Xenopus tropicalis: one gene and its partners. The main gene of each other region encodes a partner of the protein of the gene in region 5 in a complex. Links are inferred from orthologs where the notes say so. Each region holds a gene or a part of one and is shown on either strand. Other genes may lie near its edges. The genes, in order: thoc3, thoc6, ddx39b, thoc7, alyref, chtop and thoc1.

Evidence for each region.
Region 1: alyref (region 5) and thoc3 share a complex: the UniProt entries of both Homo sapiens proteins name them as parts of the transcription/export (TREX) complex. The link is inferred for Xenopus tropicalis from reciprocal best matches to the Homo sapiens genes ALYREF and THOC3.
Region 2: alyref (region 5) and thoc6 share a complex: the UniProt entries of both Homo sapiens proteins name them as parts of the transcription/export (TREX) complex. The link is inferred for Xenopus tropicalis from reciprocal best matches to the Homo sapiens genes ALYREF and THOC6.
Region 3: alyref (region 5) and ddx39b share a complex: the UniProt entries of both Homo sapiens proteins name them as parts of the transcription/export (TREX) complex. The link is inferred for Xenopus tropicalis from reciprocal best matches to the Homo sapiens genes ALYREF and DDX39B.
Region 4: alyref (region 5) and thoc7 share a complex: the UniProt entries of both Homo sapiens proteins name them as parts of the transcription/export (TREX) complex. The link is inferred for Xenopus tropicalis from reciprocal best matches to the Homo sapiens genes ALYREF and THOC7.
Region 6: alyref (region 5) and chtop share a complex: the UniProt entries of both Homo sapiens proteins name them as parts of the transcription/export (TREX) complex. The link is inferred for Xenopus tropicalis from reciprocal best matches to the Homo sapiens genes ALYREF and CHTOP.
Region 7: alyref (region 5) and thoc1 share a complex: the UniProt entries of both Homo sapiens proteins name them as parts of the transcription/export (TREX) complex. The link is inferred for Xenopus tropicalis from reciprocal best matches to the Homo sapiens genes ALYREF and THOC1.

The regions. Positions count from the first base shown.
Region 1 is NC_030679.2:45,416,968-45,421,143, forward strand, and holds the start of thoc3 (THO complex subunit 3), read right to left. Parts: upstream 2,801-4,176; 5' UTR 2,786-2,800; coding exon 2,534-2,785; intron 1-2,533. UniProt on the Homo sapiens protein: Component of the THO subcomplex of the TREX complex which is thought to couple mRNA transcription, processing and nuclear export, and which specifically associates with spliced mRNA and not with unspliced pre-mRNA.
Region 2 is NC_030685.2:12,479,742-12,483,241, forward strand, and holds part of thoc6 (THO complex subunit 6 homolog), read right to left. Parts: intron 3,109-3,500; coding exon 3,046-3,108; intron 2,015-3,045; coding exon 1,904-2,014; intron 1,695-1,903; coding exon 1,566-1,694; intron 1,381-1,565; coding exon 1,297-1,380; 3' UTR 1-1,296. UniProt on the Homo sapiens protein: Component of the THO subcomplex of the TREX complex which is thought to couple mRNA transcription, processing and nuclear export, and which specifically associates with spliced mRNA and not with unspliced pre-mRNA.
Region 3 is NC_030684.2:74,210,165-74,214,218, forward strand, and holds the start of ddx39b (spliceosome RNA helicase DDX39B), read right to left. Parts: upstream 2,801-4,054; 5' UTR 2,720-2,800; intron 1,191-2,719; 5' UTR 1,169-1,190; coding exon 958-1,168; intron 1-957. UniProt on the Homo sapiens protein: Involved in nuclear export of spliced and unspliced mRNA. Component of the TREX complex which is thought to couple mRNA transcription, processing and nuclear export, and specifically associates with spliced mRNA and not with unspliced pre-mRNA.
Region 4 is NC_030680.2:145,037,704-145,041,203, reverse strand, and holds part of thoc7 (THO complex subunit 7 homolog), read right to left. Parts: intron 2,659-3,500; coding exon 2,537-2,658; intron 1,664-2,536; coding exon 1,577-1,663; intron 392-1,576; coding exon 334-391; intron 1-333. UniProt on the Homo sapiens protein: Component of the THO subcomplex of the TREX complex which is thought to couple mRNA transcription, processing and nuclear export, and which specifically associates with spliced mRNA and not with unspliced pre-mRNA.
Region 5 is NC_030686.2:27,893,665-27,897,895, reverse strand, and holds the start of alyref (THO complex subunit 4), read left to right. Parts: upstream 1-1,431; 5' UTR 1,432-1,436; coding exon 1,437-1,682; intron 1,683-4,231. UniProt on the Homo sapiens protein: Functions as an mRNA export adapter; component of the transcription/export (TREX) complex which is thought to couple mRNA transcription, processing and nuclear export, and specifically associates with spliced mRNA and not with unspliced pre-mRNA.
Region 6 is NC_030684.2:144,115,430-144,118,430, reverse strand, and holds the end of chtop (chromatin target of PRMT1 protein), read right to left. Parts: intron 1,884-3,001; coding exon 1,700-1,883; intron 1,623-1,699; coding exon 1,497-1,622; intron 1,013-1,496; coding exon 816-1,012; 3' UTR 501-815; downstream 1-500. UniProt on the Homo sapiens protein: Plays an important role in the ligand-dependent activation of estrogen receptor target genes. May play a role in the silencing of fetal globin genes.
Region 7 is NC_030682.2:108,269,980-108,273,479, reverse strand, and holds part of thoc1 (THO complex subunit 1), read right to left. Parts: intron 2,650-3,500; coding exon 2,554-2,649; intron 2,456-2,553; coding exon 2,373-2,455; intron 2,164-2,372; coding exon 2,093-2,163; intron 1,738-2,092; coding exon 1,629-1,737; intron 1,393-1,628; coding exon 1,261-1,392; intron 506-1,260; coding exon 405-505; intron 1-404. UniProt on the Homo sapiens protein: Component of the THO subcomplex of the TREX complex which is thought to couple mRNA transcription, processing and nuclear export, and which specifically associates with spliced mRNA and not with unspliced pre-mRNA.

The DNA of each region.
Region 1 (4,176 bases), on a different chromosome or scaffold from region 5:
CCAGTTCAGCCCTAAGGGCTGTGACACACGAGGATCTCCCCAAAATGCCATTCCACCAGCTAGAATGTAAACCACTGGTGGGATGGCATACACGGTGGCGCGATTTGACAAAGTCACCTTGAGCGGAGTCCTTTGCCTGCAGCAGTGCACTGGGGAAAAAAAAAAAAGGCTGAGTTCTCCTTTCAAATTACCCATAATTCTGTAGGGTCTGAGACCAAGACCGGAGCATGCGCCTTAAAGAGATACTGACACCAGAAATGAAACCATTTTTACATCTGTCATAACATTGTCTTTGCATGCTATTTATAATTTTGCCATAAAAGTATTTGCCCAATGCTTTTACATTCCCTATCTGATCCCCCATGTTCCTCTATGAGGGGGCTGCCATATTTGTCCAGCAGGAGGCCGTTAGCATTAGAAGCTGTAACTGACAGGCTGAGAAGGGACAGTCAGGCTGGCAAAACAGTCAGGTTTTGGGATTTCAAGTAACAATTACTTACAAAAGCAGCCCTATCAGCAAAAAATGATCAACACAACCTATAGCCAACTTTTTATGTAGATTTAGATTTGAAAAAGTTGTTTTTTCGTGTCAGTATCACTTTCAAGTCAGCAGCAGGATTGGTCAGCGTGAGCAAGAATGAGTCAGCAACATGCAGGGTAAAGGGGACAGATTATGTTGGCGCATGCACAGAGACACTGCAGAACTCATAATCCATCATGTAATTCAGAAAAACATGGCGGCGTGGCTTAGCGATACAGACCACGCAACAAAAGAAGTGAATGTAAGTCAGGGAGGCACTTTTTACATAATATAACTTAGCGATTAGGTTCAGCTCAATATAATCTGTTAGTGGGAATAAGCCGGTAAGAAACACTTTCCTTGCTTTTAACATGCACAAATGGCAACACAACCACAGATGCCATGGAAATGCACAGAATTTAGAACTAAAAACTTGAAAAAGAGGCACAGATAAAATATTTTGAGATTTTGTTGCTCTGTAATCAGGTGACTGTTATTAGAGACATAAGGGTCTAAGTACATGTAAAGCTGGCTAAACAATTTGCTCATTTCATCAGAAAGCTAAATGAGTAAATCTCAGCCTAATAGCCTGACCCCACACTAGGCCAAATGAGGGTGATTAGAATGTTGACTTGGGTTGGGCAACGATCTGTTCATTCTGCAGGCCTACACAGACGTCTTGGGCAGAGGATCTTCACCCTTAATAAAAGTGATTTGACAGTGTGCAACCTTTTAGTAATTTGGGATTTTTTTATTTCTATTTATATAATGTCAACATATTCCATTACCCTTGATTAAATCAAATTTATGTCAGTCCCTGTCCCCAGTGGAGCTAACAATCTAAAAATCCCTATCACATTTACATACACTATGGTCTAATCTGCTGTAGGGCTGCCACCTTTTCTGGGAAAAAATACAGTCCTTCCTAATCTGCTGGTATGTGTTTGTAGTGGGGAGGAAAGGTAACTCAGTACCTAGAGAAAAGTAACTAAGGGACAGAGATAGCATATACACCCCTTGCATACAGTGACAGCACTTCCCTGTGGGTGCGGGGGACACTGAGTAAAGTAAATGTAGGTATATGCTACTCACTGTCTCTCAACTTCAGATTAAAGCAGACTGAGAAGTTATTAAAGCTTTGATTATGATGCAAAAGAAACCCCAGAAGCTGAACGTGGGAATGTACTGGGCTGGCAGCCCACCTCAATGCTGAGCAGCACCACAGAAAGGGGTGTGTGTGTGTGTATATATATATATATATATATATATATATATATATATATATATATAATTACATACATACACAGGATTTGCACATAGAAGTCACTGGGTCAAATGAAAATTAATTGCATCAGAGGTTTATTAATTCCAACGTTTCAGCTCCACACAGGAGCTTTCGTCAGGGAGCTGAAATGTTGGAATTAATAAACCTCTGATGCAATTAATTTTCATTTGACCCAGTGACTTCTATGTGCAAATCCTGTGTGTGCCGTCATCCGAGCCTGTATATTGTTTTTGCGCACAGGCACCCAGGTATCAACTTTTAACTAATGGTGTGCTGCTTACTAGCATCTTTTTTATATACATACATACATACAAGTCAACACGACAGCACCACACTCCGAAAGTTGCTACAATGTAGCTGCCCCTGGGCACGGAATACCAAATAGACACCAAATCAAACACAACCAGCACCAAGGGTCTTGTGGTTCAAACAAGTATTAGTGTATTATAATTGCATGTACAACCAACGTTTCGGTACCTTGAAAAAGGTCCCAAAAGGGACCGAAACGTCAGTTGTACATGCAATTATAATACACCAATATTTGTTTGAACCACAAGGCCCTTGGTGCTGGTTGTGTTTCAGATACTACCTGGGTGCCAGTGCAGTTTAACGGTATGCAGATAGGATAGAAATGATAGAAAAAAAAAAATATATATATATATATATACATATATATGCGACAGCGACCCCAACACACGCCTGGGTCTCTGTCTGGCGCTATTACTCACCAGCCGGTCCTTTTCCAGCACAAACACGCTCGCAGTCTTGTCAAAGGAGCCCGACGCCAGGCGCCTCCCATCACAGCTCCAAGCCACCGAATGAACCTTTGCACTGTGCGCCGAGAACTCTCGGGTCTTATTATTGGTTTTGAAATGCTCCTGTATCTCCTGCACAGACATGGTACTTAACCGGAAGCAACGGCCACAGCAGACTTCCGGCTCCGCGTTACCTTGGCGACACAGAGTCGACTTCCGGGTCATTACACAACCGGTTTAGAAGATACTTTTATCATGTGGAAGTTTTATTAAAAGTTGCAGCCCCCGTTTTTATAAACTGTAGTAGTGCCGTGTAACATTACTTTCTATTTAAATAAATACATAACCTACTTTTGTTGGTTGTTTTGCAAGTTTTAATTCAACTAGAGTGGAAAAACTCTGGTATCGATAAGCACTGACAAAAGATTATATTATTTTATAAAAAAAAAGATTATTATTTTATAAGCAACGCAGTTTCAGAACTATTAATGGTATAATATCCGCCTGCGGCTGCGGTGGATCCCAGGGCACAAGAGGACCGGGAGCGGTGGGTCTACTACATGGTAGTTTTGTTTGCTGCGGGCAGTGTATAGGTGGCAGGAGGCTGACGGAGGGAAGGGGCCCCACAGATGTTTGGGAAAACATCTCTCCTCCCAATACATTTTTTATCTATTTAGAATTTATATTGATCCAGGTGGCTGGAGACACGCTATTTACTAGGTCTCCAAACACTGCTCATTCTGATTTAACTAGCTCGTTATTTCGAGCTAGCCATTTCAGTAATGGGTGCTTAGTCTAAGAAAAGGTGGTTAAAGTGAGGTCCCCACGGTATGGTTATACATGGAAAGTATGACAGGTATTGGCAGTATCATAGATAATGTATGCATACCTCCCAACATTTGAAAAACAAAAAGAGGGGCAATTTTTGACCACGCCCACTTTTGTGACCACGCCCCAATTAACACACCCCATTTTTTTCTAAAAATACTCCTTTTATATAGTTGAAATGGTGGGATCAGATGCAAATGTGCTATACCCTCATACTGTACTACCTAAGGAAGCCCACAGAGCCCCCCATACACAGTGCCCTTCATACACAGAGCCTCCCCATATACAGTACCCCCCATACACAGTACCCTTTATATACAGTACCCTTTATACACAGAGCCCCTCCATACACAGTGCCCCCCATACACAGTGCCCCCACATACACAGTGCCCCCCATACACAGAGGCCCCCCAAACACAGAGGCCCCCCATACACAGTGCCCCTCCATACACAGAGGCCCCCATACACAGAGGCCCCCCAAACACAGAGCCCCCCATACACAGAGCCCCCCAAACACAGAGGCCCCCCCATACACAGAGGCCCCCCATACACAGAGGTCCCCCATACACAGAGTCCCCCATACACAGAGTCCCCCATACACAGAGCCCCCCAAACACAGAGGCCCCCCCAAACACAGAGGCCCCCCCATACACAGAGCCCCCCAAACACAGAGCCCCCATACGCGCTCCGACTCCTTGCGCTGCTTCTCTCCTGTGGCTCCTTCGCCGGCGGTCCCTGGCCCTTTTATAAGGTTGCGCCCCGTGTGTACATGTGACGTCATTACGCAC
Region 2 (3,500 bases), on a different chromosome or scaffold from region 5:
TGTGCTGAGGGGGAACGGATAGAATGACAGGCCAGTAGGAGGGGAGACAATGCTGGGCCTTACAGAGGCCGGAGGAAGGAACAGATTAGTTGGAGGCTTGGGTATCGCAGGGATGGGGCTAAGCAGAAAGGTGAGACTGATAGTTTTGTGCTAGAAATACAATGAACTTTTGTATCCCTAAACCTGGGGACAGAATTAACTGTAGGTGTCTGGGGTAGGACCATGTGACTCAGCACCAACTTGTACAGTGAGAGATGGAAGAGAATGCTCAGTGTACTACAGCCTGGGATTATACGAACTAGAATGTTCCAAAAAGGGATAAAATATTACAAAGGCAATGCTTAGTCTACTACAGCCTGTGATTGGATCAAAGTGAATGTTCTGTTGGGGACAGTCTGAATATAGATAAAATAGAATGCTCACTGTACTATAGGGGGTATTAAATGAATGGGAATGTTTAGAGGGAGGGGTAGTCTGAGATTAGATAATTAGACAAAGGCAATGTTCAGTCTAGTACAGTCTGTGATTGGGTGAAAGTGAATGTTCAGCGAGCCACAGTCTGAGATTAGAAGAAAGACAATGTTCAGTGAAGGATACTCTGTGACTAGAAGGAAGAAAATGCTCAGAGTACTAATGTCTGGTATGGGATAAAAGTGACTGTTCAGTGAGAGACAGTCTAGATTAGGGGTGGCCAGACTTCGTCCATCGGCGATCTACCGGTGACTCCTCCCCCAAGATGCAGCATACGTACGCGTTCACGCCGCAATTTTGCATCTCCCGGCTTTGTTGAGGTCCACTAGGAATCCACGGGGGACCGACTAGTGGACCGTGATTGACGTCTTGGCCACCCCTGGTCTAGATTGAAGAAAATGCTCAGGGTGCTACTGGCTGAGATAAGATGAAATAGAATGTTCAGTGAGGGACAGTCTGAGATTAGAATAAAGACAATGTTCAGTGAAACATACTCTGTGACTAGATGGAAGAGAATGCTCAGGGTACTAATGTCTGGGATAAGATGCAATAGAATGTTCAGTGAGATTAGAAGAAAAGACAATGTTCAGTGAAGTGAAGATACTCTGACTAGATTGAAGAGAATGCTCAGATGAAAGGGAATGTTCAGTTGGGGACAGTCTGATCAAGGATCCTCAGCAAGGGATACTCCATGTACTGTAGGCTGAGATTAGATGAAAGAGAATGTTCAGAGAGGGACAGATTAGGATAAAATGAAAAGGCTCAGTATAGGACAGACTGGGTTTAGTTAAAAAAAAAAAAAGAGTGTTCAGTAACAGATAGAAATTAAGTGAAAGTTAGAGAGAACGCTCGGTATCGGAAGTTGGTGAATACATCAATCTTGGGGCCACTGCCAGCGGCTGTGAGGACCTGGAAAGTGAAAAAGAGTGCAAATTAACCAAGAATAAAGGGGTCTCTCACCCCTGTAGGTGCTGCATCTCATCCCCCTACACTGTCCCCTCTCACTTTGCTTTGTACCTGCCCCCAGCTCCCAGGCCCCTCACCTAAATATCAACATTCCCAGTAAGCCCAGCCTCCAAGCCTTTCATCCCTACCTTATTTTCCTGTGATGCCTCATTGACGCTCAGAGAGTAAACACAGCGAGGGGTGCTGGGAATCTGCGCTTTGATGTCCCCGTTTATCTGACAGTGATTAACATAGGGGCCCTGCCCAGCGCACAGGATCTGGGGAGAGAGAAAATGGCGGCGAGAGAAATAGGAAATTATAGGAGTTATAAGTGCATGGGAATCTATAGGAAGAGATGGAGCAGACGCAAGGTCCATGGGAGGTGGAGGGGGGGCCACAGTGCCATTTATCAAAGGTTTATGATTGGTTAAATGGGGAGAAGGGGGTCAGGAAAGAGCAGGATAAGTGCTGGAAACAATTCACTTACCATGTCCTGGTAAAACATGACCTGCTGCTGACTCTCATTCAGTGGGAAAATGGTTGTTGGCGTCACGGAGCGAAGGTGCCAAAGACTCAACTTGGGGCCCCCGCCACATACCTAGGGGTGAGAAACTGTTACACATCCAGACCGTCACTCACACACAGCGTGGCTCTGGGGGGTCTCGGTGACAAAGCCACACAGGGTCCCGTGGTTATCCATGGGTATCACAATCACACAAGGCTGGACCTCATTGGATATTACTGTTCCAAGGCTAGAAACCCTGCACCTTTACAGACACTGATTGTACCCAAGGCCGCCATCAGGAACTTATGGGAGTTATTTATATGGGGCCCAGATCATATAAAGAGTTCCACTGATTAATGTGCTAATAAGTCATTCAGTTTATTGGGGGTCAGTGGGGTTTGCCCTAAGTTTAACCCCTTCCCACCTACCTGCTCCTGGCTCTGTGCTGTCATTGCTTGATATGGAAGTTACGTACGTTTTTGCATAAGTTACGTAAACGGCGTTGAGGTGGCCATACACGCTAGGGGTGGGCAATATCGGGCTGATTCAGGCTAATTAGAACGACGGGTGAAGGTGCAGTTGGTTCGGGGACCACATCAATGAGTCCCCGATCCGACTAAATTTTTTAAACCTGCCCGATCGATATCTGCCCGATTTCAGGCCAGATATCGGTCGGACAGGCCCGTCATTTGGGCCAATAAGCTGCCGAATTGGTCTAAGGGACTGATATCGGCAGCTACAATCGCCCCTTGTATGGCCACCTTTAGTTAAGGGGCCCAATAACTAGTCAGTAGTAGTTCATAAAAATAGCCAAAATAATGATTGTGCTAAGTCAGTATTTTAATTGGTCAGTGGAGTTTATACATAAGTCATGTAACTTTCTTTGTATGCATAACTTTATGTGTAACTTACACGATTTGCGTAACTTTCACAATGTCACCGGGCCCCCTTAAGAAAGATTTCACGGGGCCTGGCACAACTGTACCCCCTCTCCCCCCCAATGGTGGCCCTGATTGTACCCCAAAGGTGCACCAACCATATCCCCCCCCCCCCCCAGCAGGTTCTTACCATCCAATCAGAGTCGGTGGTTAAACCATATCCCACCCCCCCCAGCCGGTTCTTACCATCCAATCCGAGTCGGTGGTTAAGCAGCTGATCCATTTCCCGTACTGTGGCCGAGCGCATTCCTAGGCACAGACAGATGGTTAGCAGGTACCTGCCAGAGTAACCACAGTTGGGCTCCCTCGTTCCCTTTTCTAGGCTGTGGGCAGGGCCTCAAGGGCTGTTTTGGTTAACGAAAGAGGATTTTCTAATTCTGTGCTATGAAGGAGGAGGGGAGGAGCGCCCTCTGCTGGCTAAGCAGCAAACAAAATGGCAGCCTGCCTGTCGCTGTGTAAATAATGCACCTAAATCTATTGCATGCTGGGACATTACATATCATGTCAACCCCAAAAATAATTGTGTGCCTAATAAAAGAAAACATGATTCTAAGCAACTTTTCAATTAAATTCCAACTTTAAAAGTTATGTGTAAATGTAATTGCTACTTAAAGCAGCATTTGCTGAACTCCTGGGTGTTA
Region 3 (4,054 bases), on a different chromosome or scaffold from region 5:
GAAGTGCAAACATATGCCATGTAGTAGACTGATTATTCAATATATATATATATATATATATATATATATATATATATATATATATATATATATATATATAAATAAATAAAAGAAACAAAAGGAGCACTCCCTACAAACAATCAACTGCCCCAGGTGCTGGCCAGGAGTTTATGTAAATGAAGAATAGAGTGCACACACAGGGACTTTAAACAAAGATTAAAAAAAAAAAATTGGGCTTCCATGTAAACCATTTATAGGGCAACACCAGTTGTCAACAATGTTGGCTGCTCAAAGCTCTGGTTTCAACAATTGTGTTATTTTTAATTTTGCTTTTTTAGTGGACGAGATGACTATTTATACAGGAACAGCATTTAGCTGATGTCTAAAACTTTTCTTTAGGAAACAAAATGCATAAAGGCACAGGGTGTGCCTATCATCCTGCCAGGCAGTCTCCTGGAACAAATATTTAACAGGAGTGGCTTCATTAAAAAAAGTATACTACTGGGGAACTCTTAAATACAGTAATTATACATATTTGGTATATTAATTACTTTAGCAGTGGGTTTGACAAGAATTGTTGGAGTAAATAAAATTTTCATATGTAAAATATACAAAAAAAATGACAGTGACAGCATTCTGACATGAATTCTCTGAAGTGGTGTCACATACAGGGACACATTTTAAATAGAAGCACTGAGAGCATGCCTAGTGCTTTGGGAAGGTGGCCTTTGTGTGACTATATGGGGGGGGGGGGGGGGTGGAAGTATGTGCTTAACTTATCCTGCAATAATCACATTACTAAACCTAGAAGATGATATACAAAAATATGAGCTATATGCTCATGCCAAACTTAGCTTCTCATTTTACCAGAATTAACACTCCAACTATCATTTTAACTCAGCGACAACATTACCAGACCTTTGTAGTTTTAACAGATTCCCATTTCCCTTCTCTTACCTTCTGATGGATGTTCAAAGCCACAATCTACAATGGCACGAAGCAGCTCAGGCTTGAGCAAAAAGTCTCTAAAACCAGAGCTATGAATGGATACATATGATCCCTTCATTTCCTTTTTGACAGTTATGTCAGGAGCATCCACTCCAGCCTGGTTGTCCACCTCATCGTCTTCATAGTCCAGTAGTTCATTATCTACATCTGTCTCTGCCATTTTTAGCGAGTAGAAGTGATATCTAGAACACAAAAAAAGTACAGAAGCAACAGATGAAGGATGGTTGGAAGACTAAAGGTCCCCATACACTGGGCGATAGTAGCTGCTGATATTGGTCCCTTAGACCGATTCGGCAGCTAATCGGCCCGTGTATCGGCACTTCCAACGGGCCTGCCTGACCGATATCTGGCCTGAAATCGGCCAGATCTCGGTCGGACAGGTTAGAAAATCTAGTCGGATCGGGGACCGCATCGGCTCGTTGATGTCGTCCCTGGACCGACTTTACCTTTGCCCGTCATTATAATTTGATAGTTTGGCCCCAGGGCCAAACAATCGGATTACCCTGGACTCTCCCAATATCGCCCACCCGTAGGTGGGGGATATTGGGAGAAGATCCGCTCGCTTTGTGACATTGCCAAGCGAGCGGATCTGCCAGTGTATGGGGACCTTTACTTTTTAAATTATCAGTTTGATGAAATTAAAAAAATATAGAGCCAGTACAACCAAAGAGTAAAAATGCTCTCTATGTATGTTATTAAATCTGTCTTGCAGTAGAACCCCATTTTTACGTTTCCCAGGGGGCCATATCAGAACAGCATACATTCCAGGTAAACATTAAATCTGAGAAAGAAAAAAAATGCAGGTGGCCTGAAAGGGACCACATTAAAATTCCGGGAAAATTTGAAATCCTGGGACATAAAATCTTGGTTGTAACAGGCAGTATGGAGAAGTATAGACTGTTTCTCCTGAAATATGCTGCCAGAGAAACATTACCTGTACCAGAGCAGGAAATTAAAGATTAACTTCCCTTTACTCTTTAAAAATCTATAGATATGGAATGCATTGGCTCACTGATGCTGTCCTCCTCCCAACAGCCTTATCTCATTACACTTTTTGTGTTTGGAGTGAAATTTTAGCTTTGTGCAAATGTCACATTTCTGTGGAAGTGCAGTTGGATAAAACTGGATCCAGGAGCTCACAAGGACACCTAGATATCACATGTATTGAGTCTGAATGAGATTCAAGGGGTTTCATTTCATACATTCCCATCTGACCAAAGCTCTGACGTGCTGTACCAAAATGTGGGTTAACATATGTTGCTGCTATCATATGTGGCAATATTAGTTGAGGAAAAAGCAGATATTTCTGAGAAATGTACCCTCTTTAAATAAGATACGCTATGAATACGCGACTATTGTGTTGTGTTCCTGCCACATCACTAGAATAAATACAGCTGTGAGGTGGGATGAAAATGTGTTATTACAGCAATAGCCTCAATGACTCTGCTCCATCCCCAATCCCTCCTGAGCCCAGGCCGAGAAAAATGTAATTTCATGTTTAGAGGGGTTTCCACCCGTATAATTGCTCTATTTATCGATCTCCCAATTTGCTATTATCCTTTGTTTATCCTGTGCAACATTGTGAGCTATTACTGGGACTTATTATGGTGTCACTCGGCATGTTCATACATCTCCGGCCGTTCGTGTCTCCTTTTAACTGATCTCATAGATTGACAATATCGGGTAATGTGTCTGTACCCAGAAACGCTACCTCTTAATTAAGTGTTGATAATAATCTCTTTAAAGGATTCACAACGCCGTTTTGACGTCCAATTCCTCGGTTCCAGAAGGCCCGCTCTCACTAGAGTCACATCACAGTCTCATCTCGCGGGATCGTGACGTCACACTTTAGTTATATAAGCGCGGTGACGCGAAACTCAGCCGGTTGTGGAGTGTGCGGAGGAGGTAGAATCGAGAAAGGTGTTGGGTAGTGAAGGATACGATTGTAGAAATAAGTTCTATTATGTGCAGGTCACAGACAAATCAAAAAATAAATGCGGTTTGCCATGGTGGCTGCTAGCAATAATACAAAAATAATTACAGGGGATCCGAACCTAAACAATTAAGCATTCTTGTAATAAACGTTCTTTCTTTGTTTTAAGTGGCGGCTGAGTTGATTGCATTTTATTTGTGGCTCAAGGGAAAGTCAGCAACTCTAGGGTTAATCGTATAAGGCCAGTGCATAGACATTAGGAGGTGTGCAAAAGTGCAATTTTATTGTTCACTACAACTCAAACATATGCCAGGCAACAAAACAGTTTTTCTGTTAGCAGCTATAGCACCACGACCACTAGAGCCTCCAAGCCCAATATTTAAATAAAAAGTGCAATTATTAGTGATGAGCGAATATGTCCCGTTTTGCTTTGCCGAAAAATTAGCAAAATATCTGCAAAACGTGTTTGATTTTTTTTGTCGCCCTTGCACATTTAGATGCGAGTGTGCCTATTTTGATGCACAACAAATTTTCTTTGAAGTCTCGCAAAACAATTCACCAATGGCGAAATGCAGAAATTTGCCAAGTGTCTATGCCTGGAGAAAAAATTCACTCATCACTAGCTGTCATCTTTTTTCCCAGTGCTGAGAGCTCCCATTTGTGCCAGGTAACAAATAAACCCACATTTTTCATAGTTGCCAACAAGAACAGTTCCCATCTAAGCTTCCCCCTTCCTAGTTTGACCAAAAACAAATATCTTTTTGCTAACTAGATCCATGTGAAATTAAGCATCTCTAAAGGTTTTTCCCTTCCCTTAAGAGGGTGCATGTAGGTTGGATAGGATCAGGTCAGTGCAACACTCTTGTAGGTGAGGGATCTGCCTCTAAAGGAGAACTGCAAACATTCAAGAAGACTGGACCTGTGCTGCTGTACAGTTTTCAGTCCCTGAGTATTTTGTCTGTAGCGTTTAATGCATGATTCTTAAAAAGCATAGTGCTTGAAATAAAACATTTTGACTTTGACCTGCCCATGTAAGCAGTTAGTGGACATTAATAGCATGACATTTTGCTATTAGGTTATTTTTTATACTTATGTACATGGTTCATTTTTTTG
Region 4 (3,500 bases), on a different chromosome or scaffold from region 5:
GGTCACTTTAGCTGAACAGGGAACAGTTGGCAAAAGTTAGTGAGAAGAGGAAAGTCTTGTGATGTTGTTCTGCTTAGAACTGGCCATAGAAATGTCAGATGGCACTTCTTGATAACTTCATTTTCTGAGCAGAGCAACATCAAAAAAAACTTTCCCCTTCTCATTAACTCAATTTTCTGCCAATTGTGTCTGGCAGCCAAAGGATCAGCAGGTGGAGCTGTTGCTTCACATTCAACTGCTTTAAAACTGAAGAAAAATAAAAATTATATATATATTTATTTCCCTTTAATTTTTCAGGGGCGTGCATGCAAATACAACGGGTAGAGTACTTACTTTAGGGTTTCGTGCCTGTCTGGATGTTGCTGAATAACTTTGGCCAATGCATCATATTCTGGTAAACAAAATGACAATGATTTTTTTTTTTTAAAACTTTTTTTTTTATATTAAGTACAATTAAAAAGGGGATAAAAAATTGCAAGATTGCTGTTGAAAACCTGTAGGTTAAAGCTAACATATTTCTATGTATGCCCCTTTTGGAGATACTTATCATACCTTGACCATCACAATGTTTAGACATCAACTAATTTCCTGCAGTGTTTATACAGGGCTATTAATGTTGCTTCATGCTGTAAGCTTTGTAGAATACAATAGTGTTTTACAGAGCTGTATCTGCAGTGTAACCTTGTGCCATTTAGCCCTATTTCAATATGGATAGCTACCCCTCTGCTACACAGTAGCATTATTTGTATAAACTACAGTAGTGTTTCAGAAGCAAACACATAACTTTTGCCATTGCAGGGCGATAGTACATTGTATTCTAATTACTTTGATACATTTTCATTTTTTGGTGTTAGTGTACCCCTTATTGGGGCAGAACAGCCCTATTAGGTTTATTTAATGGTTAAATGATTCCCTTTTCTCTGTAATAATAAAACAGTACCTGTACTTGATCCCAACTAAGATATAATTACCCCTTATTGGGGGCAGAACAGCCCTATTGGGTTTATTTAATGGTTAAATGATTCCCTTTTCTCTGTAATAATAAAACAGTATCTGTACTTGATCCCAACTAAGATATAATTACCCCTTATTGGGGCAGAACAGCCCTATTGGGTTTATTTAATGGTTAAATGATTCCCTTTTCTCTGTAATAATAAAACAGTATCTGTACTTGATCCCAACTAAGATATAATTACCCCTTATTGGGGCAGAACAGCCCTATTGGGTTTATTTAATGGTTAAATGATTCCCTTTTCTCTGTAATAATAAAACAGTACCTGTACTTGATCCCAACTAAGATATAATTACCCCTTATTGGGGGCAGAACAATCCTATTGGGTTTATTCAATATTTATTTGATTTTTAGCAGACTTAAGTTATGGAGATCCAAATTACAGAAAGATCCCTTGTGCGGAAAACCCTTGGTCCTGAGCATTCTGGATAACAGGTCCCATACCTGTACCAGTAGTGTCTATCAGAATCTGTGCATAACAGACACAGTAGGGGTTTATTTCACTTACAACAAAATAAGCCAGCCTCATTTAAATAATTTTAGTTCTTTATTTATTTATGTTACCTTGGCGATTCTTTCGGATTCGCTTGGCTTGCAAGATCTGTTTTTTGCATTCTGCAATTTTCTCATGTGCTGCAGCAATACTACTCTCTGGAACATGCAAGAAAAGATATATTTTGAATGGTGAAATTATGTCAACTGAGCGTTTAGAAAGTTTAGTAAAGATGTCAGCAAAGCTTAGCAATATCAACAATAATGTATTAAAATGTATATTCAGCCTACTGTTTTTTAATTGAAATTTTTTTTTTAAAAAAACACATGATTACTGAAGTCTGGATATTTTAGAGTGTGGTAGGAAACTATTACCCGGAAGAAGAAGCTTTCCTGCTGCAAACAACCCAACCATGTTGTATGTCTGTAGTGCACTGCTAGAATCAATCAGTAGGAGGAAATGTGTGACTTGTGAGACTTACAGCATCAGCATATCGTAATATATAAACATTTTTTAGCAGGTTTATATATTGGTGACAGTTCCTACCAATAAGGCTCCGCTTTTTCCTCGCTGAAGGAGAGGTATTGGAGTGGGGAGGTCGGAAAGCTGGGTCCCTGGAGTGCTTACAAACCTCCATACAGTGTGAGGGGAAATAAAATAGTTATGATCCCATATTAGGCTAAAGAGGCTCTCAGCCAAGTCATTGTCCTCTGATGAAGCACCCAATGGTGCGAAATGCGTTAGGAGTGGGCACCATGAGGCACTGGGATGTACCTTTCCACTGTTTGGTATAGTATGCTTTTGAATGGTTTGTTTAAATTTTGAGCCAATAAATGGCTGGCCTGTAGCAGGTATCACATCTTTAAGACAGCAATTTAGAAAAGCTTAATGACATTAAACACACAAGAGTACCTTCCAGAGCCAAGGCGCAATTTTTCACTTTGCGTGAAAAGCCAAACCAGGAAAAAATGCTAAAACAACAAACTGCCATATTTTACTTAAATTTTATTTAAACTGGTAAAATGCCTTACCTATATCAACATATATTTTTTCATAGTTTTCCATTTCCCGCAGATTCATATCATGCACTAGAAGTGTTTTTCCCATGGAAAATTCACATTGAGACAAGGAGCTCAGCATGCGTTGGTACTGGCTGTACATAAAAGCACAACAAAAACACAATTACTATTCAAGATACTATGTATTGATCCAACTTCAGATTGGTAATTAAGGACAGGTAATTTTTTTTTCAACAATATTTTACATGCAAGTTGAAGAATCTGTCAAGATCAAACTTTAGTTAAAGTGCAACTTAATTGCTTTCAGGGGCGGTTCTGCATTGGAGAGGGTGAAAGATGGGCTGCATCACTAAGGGCATAATCAAGCTCTCTGCACTAAAAGAGCCAAAATTTAGTTTAATAACCAGAATTCTGTCTCTTAAAGACACCAAGAGTGGCTTTTTGCTGCCCCTGGAACTTGCAGTTCACTGTCGCCTAAGACAAAGTACTCAACTTGCCCCATGGATGGTAGCCCAATTGCTTTAAGCCAACATCAGAGCTAAAAATTAGAAGTAATGTGGCAGACAAGCTCTGCAGTCCAGACTGTACATATATACTTTACTTTTCAAATTCAGGACCTGTGTTAACCTGTCAGAGATGGGTAAGAAGGCAGCTTGTGCACCCACTGAGCATTTAGCGAGCATTCAGAGTAGGTCACTTAATAGACTAACAGTGCTTAGTGATGACATTACAGTAGTCAGGATCTATTTTCTGATTTATGGATCACAACATAAGAAGACAACACAACATAAGAAGTATAGAACTGAATGCATAGTTCAGATAGGGCTATAGCATTCATCTGAACAGATGACTAAAGCAAGTTGTCAAGTTTTTGGCTAGTTATCCAATGATCCTAGTCAAGTACCTTGGGTGCACTTTCAAAAGAAGATGCACAACAGCCAGGGAAAAATGTTACATTTTAGTTAACTGGGAGGTG
Region 5 (4,231 bases):
AAAATTCACTTTATATTACCTTTAAGTGCAATATACAATGCCACGTCTCACCTTGGTGGTTCCTGCATCTTACCCATCCCCACTCCTTGTGCCTCATACCACCTTCTCCTTTTAGATCTATGGCCTGCTTTTCATCCTGTTTTGATTAGTATTCTGACATTTTTCTGTGTAGAAAACTCTATCCTTATAAACGGCACATTCTGAAATCACACTGCACTATTTATAACTTAAAGTAACACTGAAACAACATTTTAATAGAGCAGTGCCACACCAGTACACAGGCGCGGGCCAAGCTGTAGGCAACCCGGTCAGCCACCTCGCCCCTGCACCTTTCCCCACCCCCCCTCGTGTGTGCTTTGGCCTGCATACGCAGGCCAGGGGTAGGCAGGAGAGGCTCCTGCCTGGCGCCCCCAAATCGTTGCACCCTAGGCAGCTGCCTCTTCTGCCTACCCCTAGTTTCGGCCCTGCCTGTACATCAGAAACATGGAAGGGCACGAGGCAAAGGGCCATATTTTCTAGATATATGCGTGAGGGCCCATGAGGGCCAGTGATACCCAACCAGTGGTTTGTGAGCAACATGTTTCTTCCCAAACCCTTTGGATGTTGCTCCCAATGGCCTCAAAGCAGCTGCTTATTTTTGAATTCCTGGATTGGAGGCAATCCAAACAGAGCCTCATTTAGGCTGCCAGTCCACATAGGAGTGTGGCCCACAGGTAAGAAAGGTTGGGGACCCCTGCTGAAAGCGCTGGGGGGGGGGGAGCGGGGACCCCTGAAACTTGTAGATTGTAAATAATAATGTACCCCCTACTAAAATGTAAAAGTATTTTAGAATCTACTGAGGTCTATAAGCTTTATAAATGGCTTTGTTCCTTAGAGAGAATGTTCTCTCTGATTCACTGTTCATTCAAAAATGATCTTTTGTGTCCTTTTAAAAACCAAGGAGGTGGATCAGAATACATATAACATATTTTTCACACAAACGTCTGTGATTTCAAATATACTTATAAACCACACAAGGGACTACATTTTTTATACATGTGCATTAAATAATCAGCGTGTTTGGCGTTCCAACATAATTGTGGAACAACGTGAGAAGTATCGTAATTAAACACTTCCATTTCAAGATACAGGGGAGCGATCGGTATAGAGGCGCTTGGAAAAATCTGAAACTGATGCAGCTCATTATAAATAAACTTTATTTTCAGTTTAGGCTTTAGTCTCCCACCTTGAAACAACTCGTGGCAAGAACTGAAAGAGAGGTTACTTTTGTTTGTTAGTTTAAATGTTAGCCTAACCCGGCGGAAGTGACGCAGGGAGTGCCGGATATGCGGGGCGGGGCTATTTAAGCGCGGCTCACACCGGCTGGATAGTAGTATTGTTCCAGGACAGGCCGCATCCGAGCACGCTACACGGTTAACTTGAGAAACATCGCCGCGATGGGGGACAAAATGGACATGTCTCTAGATGATATCATCAAGCTTAATCGGAGCCAAAGACCGGCCGGAAGGGGCCGGGGTGGAGGACGGGGTGCTCGGGGCGGGTCGGCCCGCGGAGGAGCCGGAGGCCGAATTGGTGGAGGCCGCGGAGGAGGAGGAGGAGGAGCGGCGGGAGGCGGAGGGCCTATGCGGTCAAGGCCTGTCCTGACCCGCGGCGGAAGGAACCGGCCCGCACCGTACAGCAGGGTAGGAGAGGCGGGGGCAGGGAGGGCCTGTGGCCTTACAAAGGCGCCGGTGACCGGAGGAGGCAGCCGCCCGGAGAGGTTTCGGTGTGTGCCCGACCGATCAGCTGCTGGAGTGGTGACATCCATGAGGCCCGGACCGAGGAGCTGGGGCCCGGTCTGAGAAGGTTTGCGCAACGGGGGATTATGGGCCTGGGGCCGCCCCCTGTGTCCGGCGCTCCGTGGGGAGGGGATAGCGTATCCCGGAGCAGCTTCTCCCGGGTGTCGGCCTTCTGGTCCGGGCTGGGCGGGTGGGATTGGGCCCCGGGAGCCCGCGCTTCTCTAGTTCCTCGGTAACAGTAATAGAATAACATAAGATTCCCGCACTTCCAACATGGCTGCTACTGCGGGGGGTTGTGAGTATAAGTTAGGGGGCAGCGCTCCTGGCCGAGGCTTATACAGCTCTAAGCGCTAATCTCTCCGTGAATTTCTGTAAATGAATGTTAGTTCCTTAGATTTTCTTGTTGTTAAACATGGAGATATGAGCTTCACTTTTGTTCTGAGGCTGAGCCAAATGTGGGCCCTAATCATACAGTGTAGATAATCCTAGTGCCATTGCCAGGCCTGGGAGTTACAGCTCAGCTTGGAATATCTTTCCCACCTGACATTTTTTATATCTGATAAATGTTTTTTTCCAAATGGGAAACCCAGTTGTCCTACAGCTCATGGAATTGCTGTGCTGCAACAGTGTTTGAGCAACTGCACTAACAGTTAGTGTTAGCCGGGCTTAGGGTGGGGGGTGTTAAATGTTAGTCCCCTAGTGCTTATAATTGCTTACCCGATACCCCAGGCCAGTACCCCTGTTCCCTAAACACTGCACCAGCCTTAGAGAAGGAAAGGTACAACCACTGGGGGGGGGGGATATTGGACATCCCTGCAGTGATTGTAAACGCTTACCTGAAACCTCTGGGGGTGCTCCTGTAAGGAGAAAACTGCACCAACAAGGGGTTAACTGCATATGGGTGAGTGGAAAACCAGCTTTTTTTTAACTTTTGGCTTTTTGCTCCACTGGGCATGCTCAGACAGGAGGACCCCTTTGTCTGCACCCGACTGGTGCAGTCTCACTGAGGGGGGCTAACATTCTGGAATGTTTGTAACTTTCATTTTAAGTGAACAGGTGCACCGGCCCAGGGTATCTGGTAAGCAGTTATAATCACTTTCCTTCTCTATGTATGGAAGCTGCCAGAGCTTTCAGCTGACTACCAGCCACTCTTGGTAGTCTCTATAGAAATTGTGCCCATGGTTCAGTGTTTTGGTGTGTACAGGCGTAAAGCTGGTAACATTTGTTGGGGTTGTGTTGTAAAAGGATATATTTATATATAAGGGATGCACGCTACACAATGAGGTGTTTTCATGTCATGATGCTACATTATACAAATGTCCAAATACATTTTATTTTTTTCCTTAGAAAATTTGAGTCCTTGCATAGATCAGTTAACCATTAAACGGTCATGCCTTCACTATTTCTTTGCTGAACTATGGCTGCAAGTAATACCATATTACCCTGCAAGTAATAGCAATGCAAATGTTTAATCCCTAGATATTACTAAAAAGGATAAAGGGGAAATATTCCCCTTTATTGCGCAGCACAAGTGAAGCTGAAATACTAGTACTTTTACTAGTAGATTAAAGCTACTTTGTTGTTTTTATTTGGAAGTAGATAACAAATTCATTGATAAGTAGATATGTTTTGCAGAGGGGTATTGCTAGTAATCAACTGCCTACTTTACAAGAACCAAATGCAGCTGGGGAACCACTGGGCAAGCATGTCGCATTGTTATTCATTCCTAGTTAGCGCAGTCCATTAAACTATATGCTATGCAGTTATGGGATCCCTTATCCAGAAACCAGTTATCCAAAAAGTTCCAAATTACGGAAAGTCCATCTCTTGCATTATGAGCAAATAGTTCTAATAAAAAAATAATTTTCCTTTGTAATTAAACTTTACCATGTACTTGATCCTAACTAAAATATAATTAATCCTTATCAGAGGCAAAATAAGCCTGTTGGGTTTGTACAATATTTAAATTATATTTAGTAGACTTAAGGTATGAAGATCCAAATTCCAGAAAGATCCCTTATCTGGAAAGCCCCAGGTCCCAAGCGTTCTGGATAACTGGTCTCATGTACTTGTAAAGGTTAGTTACTAAGTAATGCTGCACTTCTCAGGCAGTGAAATATAAGGTAAATGTTGGCATACAAATTTCTGTTTTTGCAGTAAGGACCATTTACCAAACCCTACTTTAGCTTATGTTTAAGAATGCTTACCCAATGGTAGCGTCATGCTTTTTGCAACTTGCAATTTCCAGGAGGTCAGGCACCATATTCCACTACTGTGCATGTTCCAGCTTCTCCTAGCAACTTATTAGCATAGCATTACTGGTATTGACTGGCAATTGACATTATATTGTAACATACCCCCCTGATGTCATTGTAGATGCACGGAAGATTCCCAGCATGCGTTTGTGCTAGATTAAAGGTGGCCATACACAGGCTGATTGTAGCTGCCGTTAT
Region 6 (3,001 bases), on a different chromosome or scaffold from region 5:
CAGTCTGACCCTGAATAAAGCCCCGTTGCACCTCTGAAAGCCCTGCACCCCCAGTCCGACCCTGAATAAAGCCCCGTTGTTCCTCTGTAAGCCCTGCACCCCCAGTCCGACCCTGAATAAAGCCCTGTTGCACCTCTGTAAGCCCTGCACCCCCAGTCCGACCATGAATAAAGCCCTGTTGCACCTCTGAAAGCCCTGCACCCCCAGTCCGACCCTGAATAAAGCCCCGTTGTTCCTCTGTAAGCCCTGCACCCCCAGTCCGACCCTGAATAAAGCCCTGTTGCACCTCTGTAAGCCCTGCACCCCCAGTCCGACCATGAATAAAGCCCTGTTGCACCTCTGAAAGCCCTGCACCCCCAGTCCGACCCTGAATAAAGCCCCGTTGCTCCTCTGTAAGCCCTGCACCCCCAGTCCGATCCTGAATACAGCCCCCTTATAAATAAAGGCACCCCGACAATGGCCGGAACAGCACCACACAATACAAACCCACAGAAAACAAGTTTTTACAAAACGCACAAAACTTTATGAGTGGTATCCAAGTGCAGCAGCATACCGAGGGGCAACGTAAACTTTGCACAAACTGACGGCAATCGAACCCAAGGGGCGGCACGGGGCCGCGGGAACTTAGTGTGCCAACCTGTCGCTCGCCTCCGTACATTCAATGGTTAATAAAATAGAGTCAAAAGAACAAATAGGTATGAAAAATGTAAAAGGAACGCTAAAACCAGGGGGCGGTACCAAAAGGAGGCGTGGCACAGTCGTGCGCGTGCTGGTAAGAGTCTGTTCCTTAGAAATATATAAAAACATTCGGCGGCTCAGTCGTTGGACTCGGGGTCTGCCTGTGCCATGTAGGCGTCCAGCTCGGCATCCAGGTGCCCCTTGGTCTTTGACATGTACGCGTCCAATTGGTTATCCAGCTGCTCCTTGGTTATCGCTGGGCGGGCCACGCCCCTTCCTCTCCCTCGTCCTCTGCCGCGCACAAAGCCCCTCCCTCTGGTCATGCCCCCGCGTCCTGCGCAGAGGGAAAGAGGCTCAGTAAGGGGCTACCACTTAAGGCACACAGCCAGGAGGTGGGGGTAAAGTTTAGTAAGGATCTCAGGTGCAACCAGTCCTGCCTACTGATCATTGGCCACAGACACCCCAGGGTTATATACTAAGGAGAGTATCCCAACACATATGACTGGGACACACAGATACCCCAGGGCTATATACTAAGGAGAGTATCCCAAAATATCTATCAATACCAATGACTGACACACAGACCCCCCCAGGGCTATATACTAAGGAGAGTATCCCAACACATCTATCAATACAGATGACTGGGACACACAGATACCCAGGGGCTATATACTAAGGAGAGTATCCCAACACATCTATCAATACAGATGACTGGGACACACAGATACCCAGGGGCTATATACTAAGGAGATTATCTATCTGGTACCGCCAGGCCCTAAGGTTGATGTACTACACAGGTACAGGATCACGTCACTTACCTCTTGCACTCATACCGCCTCGGCCCATAGCCCCTCTCATCATTCCCCTCCCGGGACCCCCGCGGCCCCGCATCCCTCTCCTCAGACCCATTCTGGCTACTCCACCTCGGCCTCGGAGGTTCTGCCCTGAAGGAGAAGATACAAGTTAGGATTACACGTTCCATAACCCGGCAGTGTTAGGGTGCAGGGAATCCAGAACTAACCCCTCATAGCCATGGCTCCCCTGGCCATTCCTCTCCCCCCGCGGCCAATACGCATCATCCCTCTCTGTGCGCCTCGTAGTCCCATTCCTGCTCCTCTCATCCCTATGGCTCCGCGTACGAGACCTCCCACCGGCCTTCCCAGCCTGGCCTGGATATTGCTCTTACCGAGACGCTGCTTTAGGCTCTAGCGAGAGAAAGGGACAGTGTTAGGCAGGGAAATTCAGTAACATAAGCTACATCCATAGACAGAAGCCCGAGAGCCAATGAGCAGCCTCTATAGAGGCAGTTTCTTCCAATCAGAGATATAGCGGTGCCACCACAGCACCACCCTACACAGTCATGTTCCTGGCCGTTTGGCCGAGGGACGGAGGCTTTGGTGCTAGAATGTTACACAGCCTCCAGTCCAAGCACCGGAGTCCCTATTGCCAAGCAATAGAGGGGGGCAGTGTAAGGCACCCCACTCACTGTAACAGGACACAAGGAGGCATCTATACGATTCCGCTGAGCCTATGTAGGTCAGGCCTCACTTAGTATTAATCAGAGGATCAGCCAACACAGAGGCCATGGGATACCATCAGATACTGTATCAGCCTGGTATCTCACTGAGGCAAAAGCTTCATATAATATATTTATTACTTTACAGTTACTCTGGCATACTAGCCCAAATGGCCCGGAACCCGTCTGGGTTGGTTGGGTGAACCGTGGCGGATCGTTACACTTGTACCTGCAAAAAAAGTTGTGTATTAATAATGGTGTCTTATGTAGTTCTGCCTCTCCCCTCACTCATCTACTGCTTCTGTCTGCTTGCTACTCAGGCGCTTAGTAATGCCTGGGTGTACCCCTGCCTCACCATGGGCCTCTCCTCAGCTACAATCAACTGTATCTTCCAACCTGGTGTTTATATACTTCATGCCCTCAGTCTGTGAGGTTCAGATGCCAACAGGATACTAGTGTTCAGCATAGTTATACATCCCCCTAACTGGCCTTCAGGCTGGGCCCCCTTAGCCCATAACAAGGTTACAGATATATAGAAACATTGGGGTAACAGTCACCCCGCTATAGTTCCAGGGGTACCCAGGGCACAAATAAGCACTCACCCCAAATCCCCCCCTAACTGGCCTTCAGGCTGGGCCCCCTTAGCCCATAACAAGGTTACAGATATATAGAAACATTGGGGTAACAGTCACCCCGCTATAGTTCCAGGGGTACCCAGGGCACAAATACCCACTCACCCCAAATCCCCCCCTAACTGGCCTTCAGGCTGGGCCCCCTTAGCCCATAACAAGGTTACAGATATATAGA
Region 7 (3,500 bases), on a different chromosome or scaffold from region 5:
AATGGCCACGCAACACACAATCTGAAAATGTCACGTAAGAGGGTCTTTAGGCAGATGAGGTACAGTATGTGCAACGCAACAGACCTTGAACAGCACTTTTTGGCATAAGATTATGCTCTTTTGCATTACTATGTACTGAAAAGATAAAATAGAATTATTTTCTAAGCATTGTTCTATAAATGGGCCAAATTCTTTAATCTCTTGGAAACGGCTGGAAACCAGTGTACACCAAATGTTTGTTACAAAGGACTTTTCACACATACGTAAATTATAACTCTCTCAAAACGCATTCATTTTGTTTAAATGTCCGCACAGGTCACAAGATTATGCCATTTATAAAGTAATGCAAGTGTGTGCCATCTGCCCAATAGATTCATAAGAGGTATTTCATTTCCACTAGTTACCTTTTAAATTTGACTTGTCCCTTTAGATACTGAAACAGAATAAGGTACTGAACCAATATATGGCGACGGAAGTTGCTGTCACTCAGCTGCAGATCCATTAACTGAAACCAACAAAGCATAGCACAGGTTCTTAAAGTCTGAGAACATAATATATGCTGCCTCTAAAGATCTGTAACTGACAAATTGAATGTAAAGAAAAGCCAAACCAAAAAAATGCATAGTTTATAAAACATCAAACACAGAAATCTCTTTGCAGTCTCTGTCACTCATAACACGTGTTCTAGTCAAAAAATGAACAGTAAATGCAATAAATGACTTCTGAAACCACACTGGAAAGTGTAGTTTATAAGCAAATAGAATTTATAGCTTTAATGTTGAGTAGAAAATATTTTGTAAACATAGACAGTGGTAGGCAAAAGGTTAAATAGGTAGTTCACCTTTACATTAACTTTTAGTGTGATGTGGACACTGATATTTTAAGAATTTGCATTTGGTCTTCATTTTCTATTTTGAATGTTTTTTTTTTTTTTAGTTATTTAGTTTTTTTTCAGCAGCTTGTTGTTAGGGTCTTATTTACCCTAGTAACCAGGCAGTGGTGTGAAAGAGACAGGAATGTGAAAAGGAGAGGACCTACATAGAATATGTAATAAAAAAATAACAACAATATTATCACAAAGCAATAGTTTGTGGCTGCTGGGGTGAGTGACCCCCATTTAAAAGCCAGAGAAGAGGCAGAGGAGAAAGGCTAAAAGTTAACCTGAACATGATCCACCCCTTTAGCTGTATAAATGATACAATGATAATAATGAGGTTAACTGGAATCATACATTTCTTTCAAGGAATACCAAGAAATTACCTTTTCACTGGTCAAAAATTTGGCAAAATACACATGTTCTCCTCCAGATTTTAGCTCTTCGATCTTTTTCCTTGATGCCTGAGTATCATCCAGCTTATAACTTTTAAATACAGTAAGAACTTCATCTGAAAACTAACACAACAGAAACGCACCACATTAAGATTTAAAAAGTACCCAACTGTTCAGTTGTCAGCAACAATGGTTTAGATAATTATGTTTGGAAAAGCTGAAGGAAAAGGAGGACTACAAGAAACAATATTCACAGACTTGGAAGGAAGGAAAAAGAAAATAAATAAAGTAAAGAAGAAAAGCCAAAATTCTGCAAGATGTTGTATTGTCAGTAGAATAGGCAGATGAGATTTATGTACTTTGAGAAAGGTTTTCCAGGAGTTCTTGTCGTAACACTGCACAGGATTCCTGAAGAAGTCTTGAAGTGTCCAGAACTTCCTATACAGGTTGTAGTCTATGGGGATAGATCTGTAAAATACATTTGAGTGCTGTAAGGATGATGTCCACAAAGTGTAACAAACACACAAGGAATCAATACACTGGCATTTGCTACCACAATGCTGGGGGGACCTGGCCAATTCTGCCAGATGCAGCGACTGATCAACCCAAAGCTGCCCCATTATTCAGGCTCCTAAACAATTTTTCTTAACTTTCTTTACATAAAGTAAAGACCACAGAGAGGTCACCCATCCTAATGTGAATACTCTTAGAAGCAGACTAAGCTTCTCTGGCTATTTGTCACCTGTGCTTAGCCCTTGGCCAGAGTGCAGACTGAATGTGCTCATCAAAATGGGGGGTATAGTTTTCCTTCAAGTAAACTTACGAACTATTAGGTGCATCATCATCTCCCATTTCCCCTTCTTCAATCTCCATCCCGTCATCTTTTTCTTCCACCTAATAAACACAAAATTCATGGCAGCAAAGGTTGCGTGCAAGTGTGAAAGCCAGCACTTTAACTTCCAGGAATATCCAATATACATGATTTATAATGCCAAGCTCCCAGCCAATAGCCAGAGGCTTTCAACGGGTGCTAGGAACAATGGATGGATGCTATCCCAAGCATTAGGATAACATGAGAATGAACAAACAAAAAAAACACTTGCCTTCTGTCCCAATGTGCTTTCCTGCTCATTGGCATTAAATACAGTGACATTCTCCAAATTAAACTGTGACTGCAAGTTCAAGCCTTTAATAAAGCACAAACAGATCACAGTGGAAAATCAGTGCTATACAGCTAACTGGTCAGTAGAAACAATAATTCCACTTCAGTGACATTATGCTTACCAGATTTTTCAGAGAGAGGGAAGAGTCGTGCAAGAAATAGTTGAATCCTTCCACAGAAAACTGTGTTCTGAGATTTTGATAGTCTTCTTAAGAGATCTAAATGTATAAAAAATATAATTTCCAAAACCTCATACAATACCATTAACAATTACTGTCCCGATATTCTTTATGGTTGTGATCTATAACAGTGTATTCACTCACACTGGTCTCTGATCGTTTTATAGATAAAGTTACAGCAACAAAACACCAGGAATTTTCACAGCTCACAGTCTACAGGTGCAGAGAAAATGCGTTGGTTGTGCATTATAATTCTCAAGCCAGGAGTTCATTGCAACAAATCCATGCACCCAAACTGACCCTAAATCTTGTTTTCCTTGGGCATGTAGTAAAAGGCATTCTCCTCAAACCTTGCCCTAAATTGCCTTCTCTTGACACCCCTAGGATAGTGCCACAGTCTGGGAACTACCATACTAAAATGTGACACTCCCTTTAAATAATGAAAATAATGATAAAGTCGTGTAAAAGTCGAGTAAAATAATAATAAGCCCTGTAGAATTAGTTACTATAGCAAATATAACTTGATCTGCTTAACAACAGCCCATTGAACACTAAGCAAGTGTGTTGTCACTGATGTTAAAAAGATGGACTAAAGATTTGGGGAACTATAGTTAACTCTGAATGCACAGGTAGGCTGCTGAGTTGGTACAGTAAGTTCAGTCTATAAGATAGCTGTATACCTGCCTACATTTGTAGCTATATTTATTTTAGACTATTTCTTCTTTAAGATAAATTATGCCCTATTTATAAGTAGTATTTACAATAATACCTTAAGTATCTGTACATTTTTGTTTTCTACATAGGTGTGGCAGCTGACAATCACAATTAACTGGTTTAACAACATGGGTGTATCCTAGCTCATCAGTAAGAAAGGCTTAAGTGTTACTTGC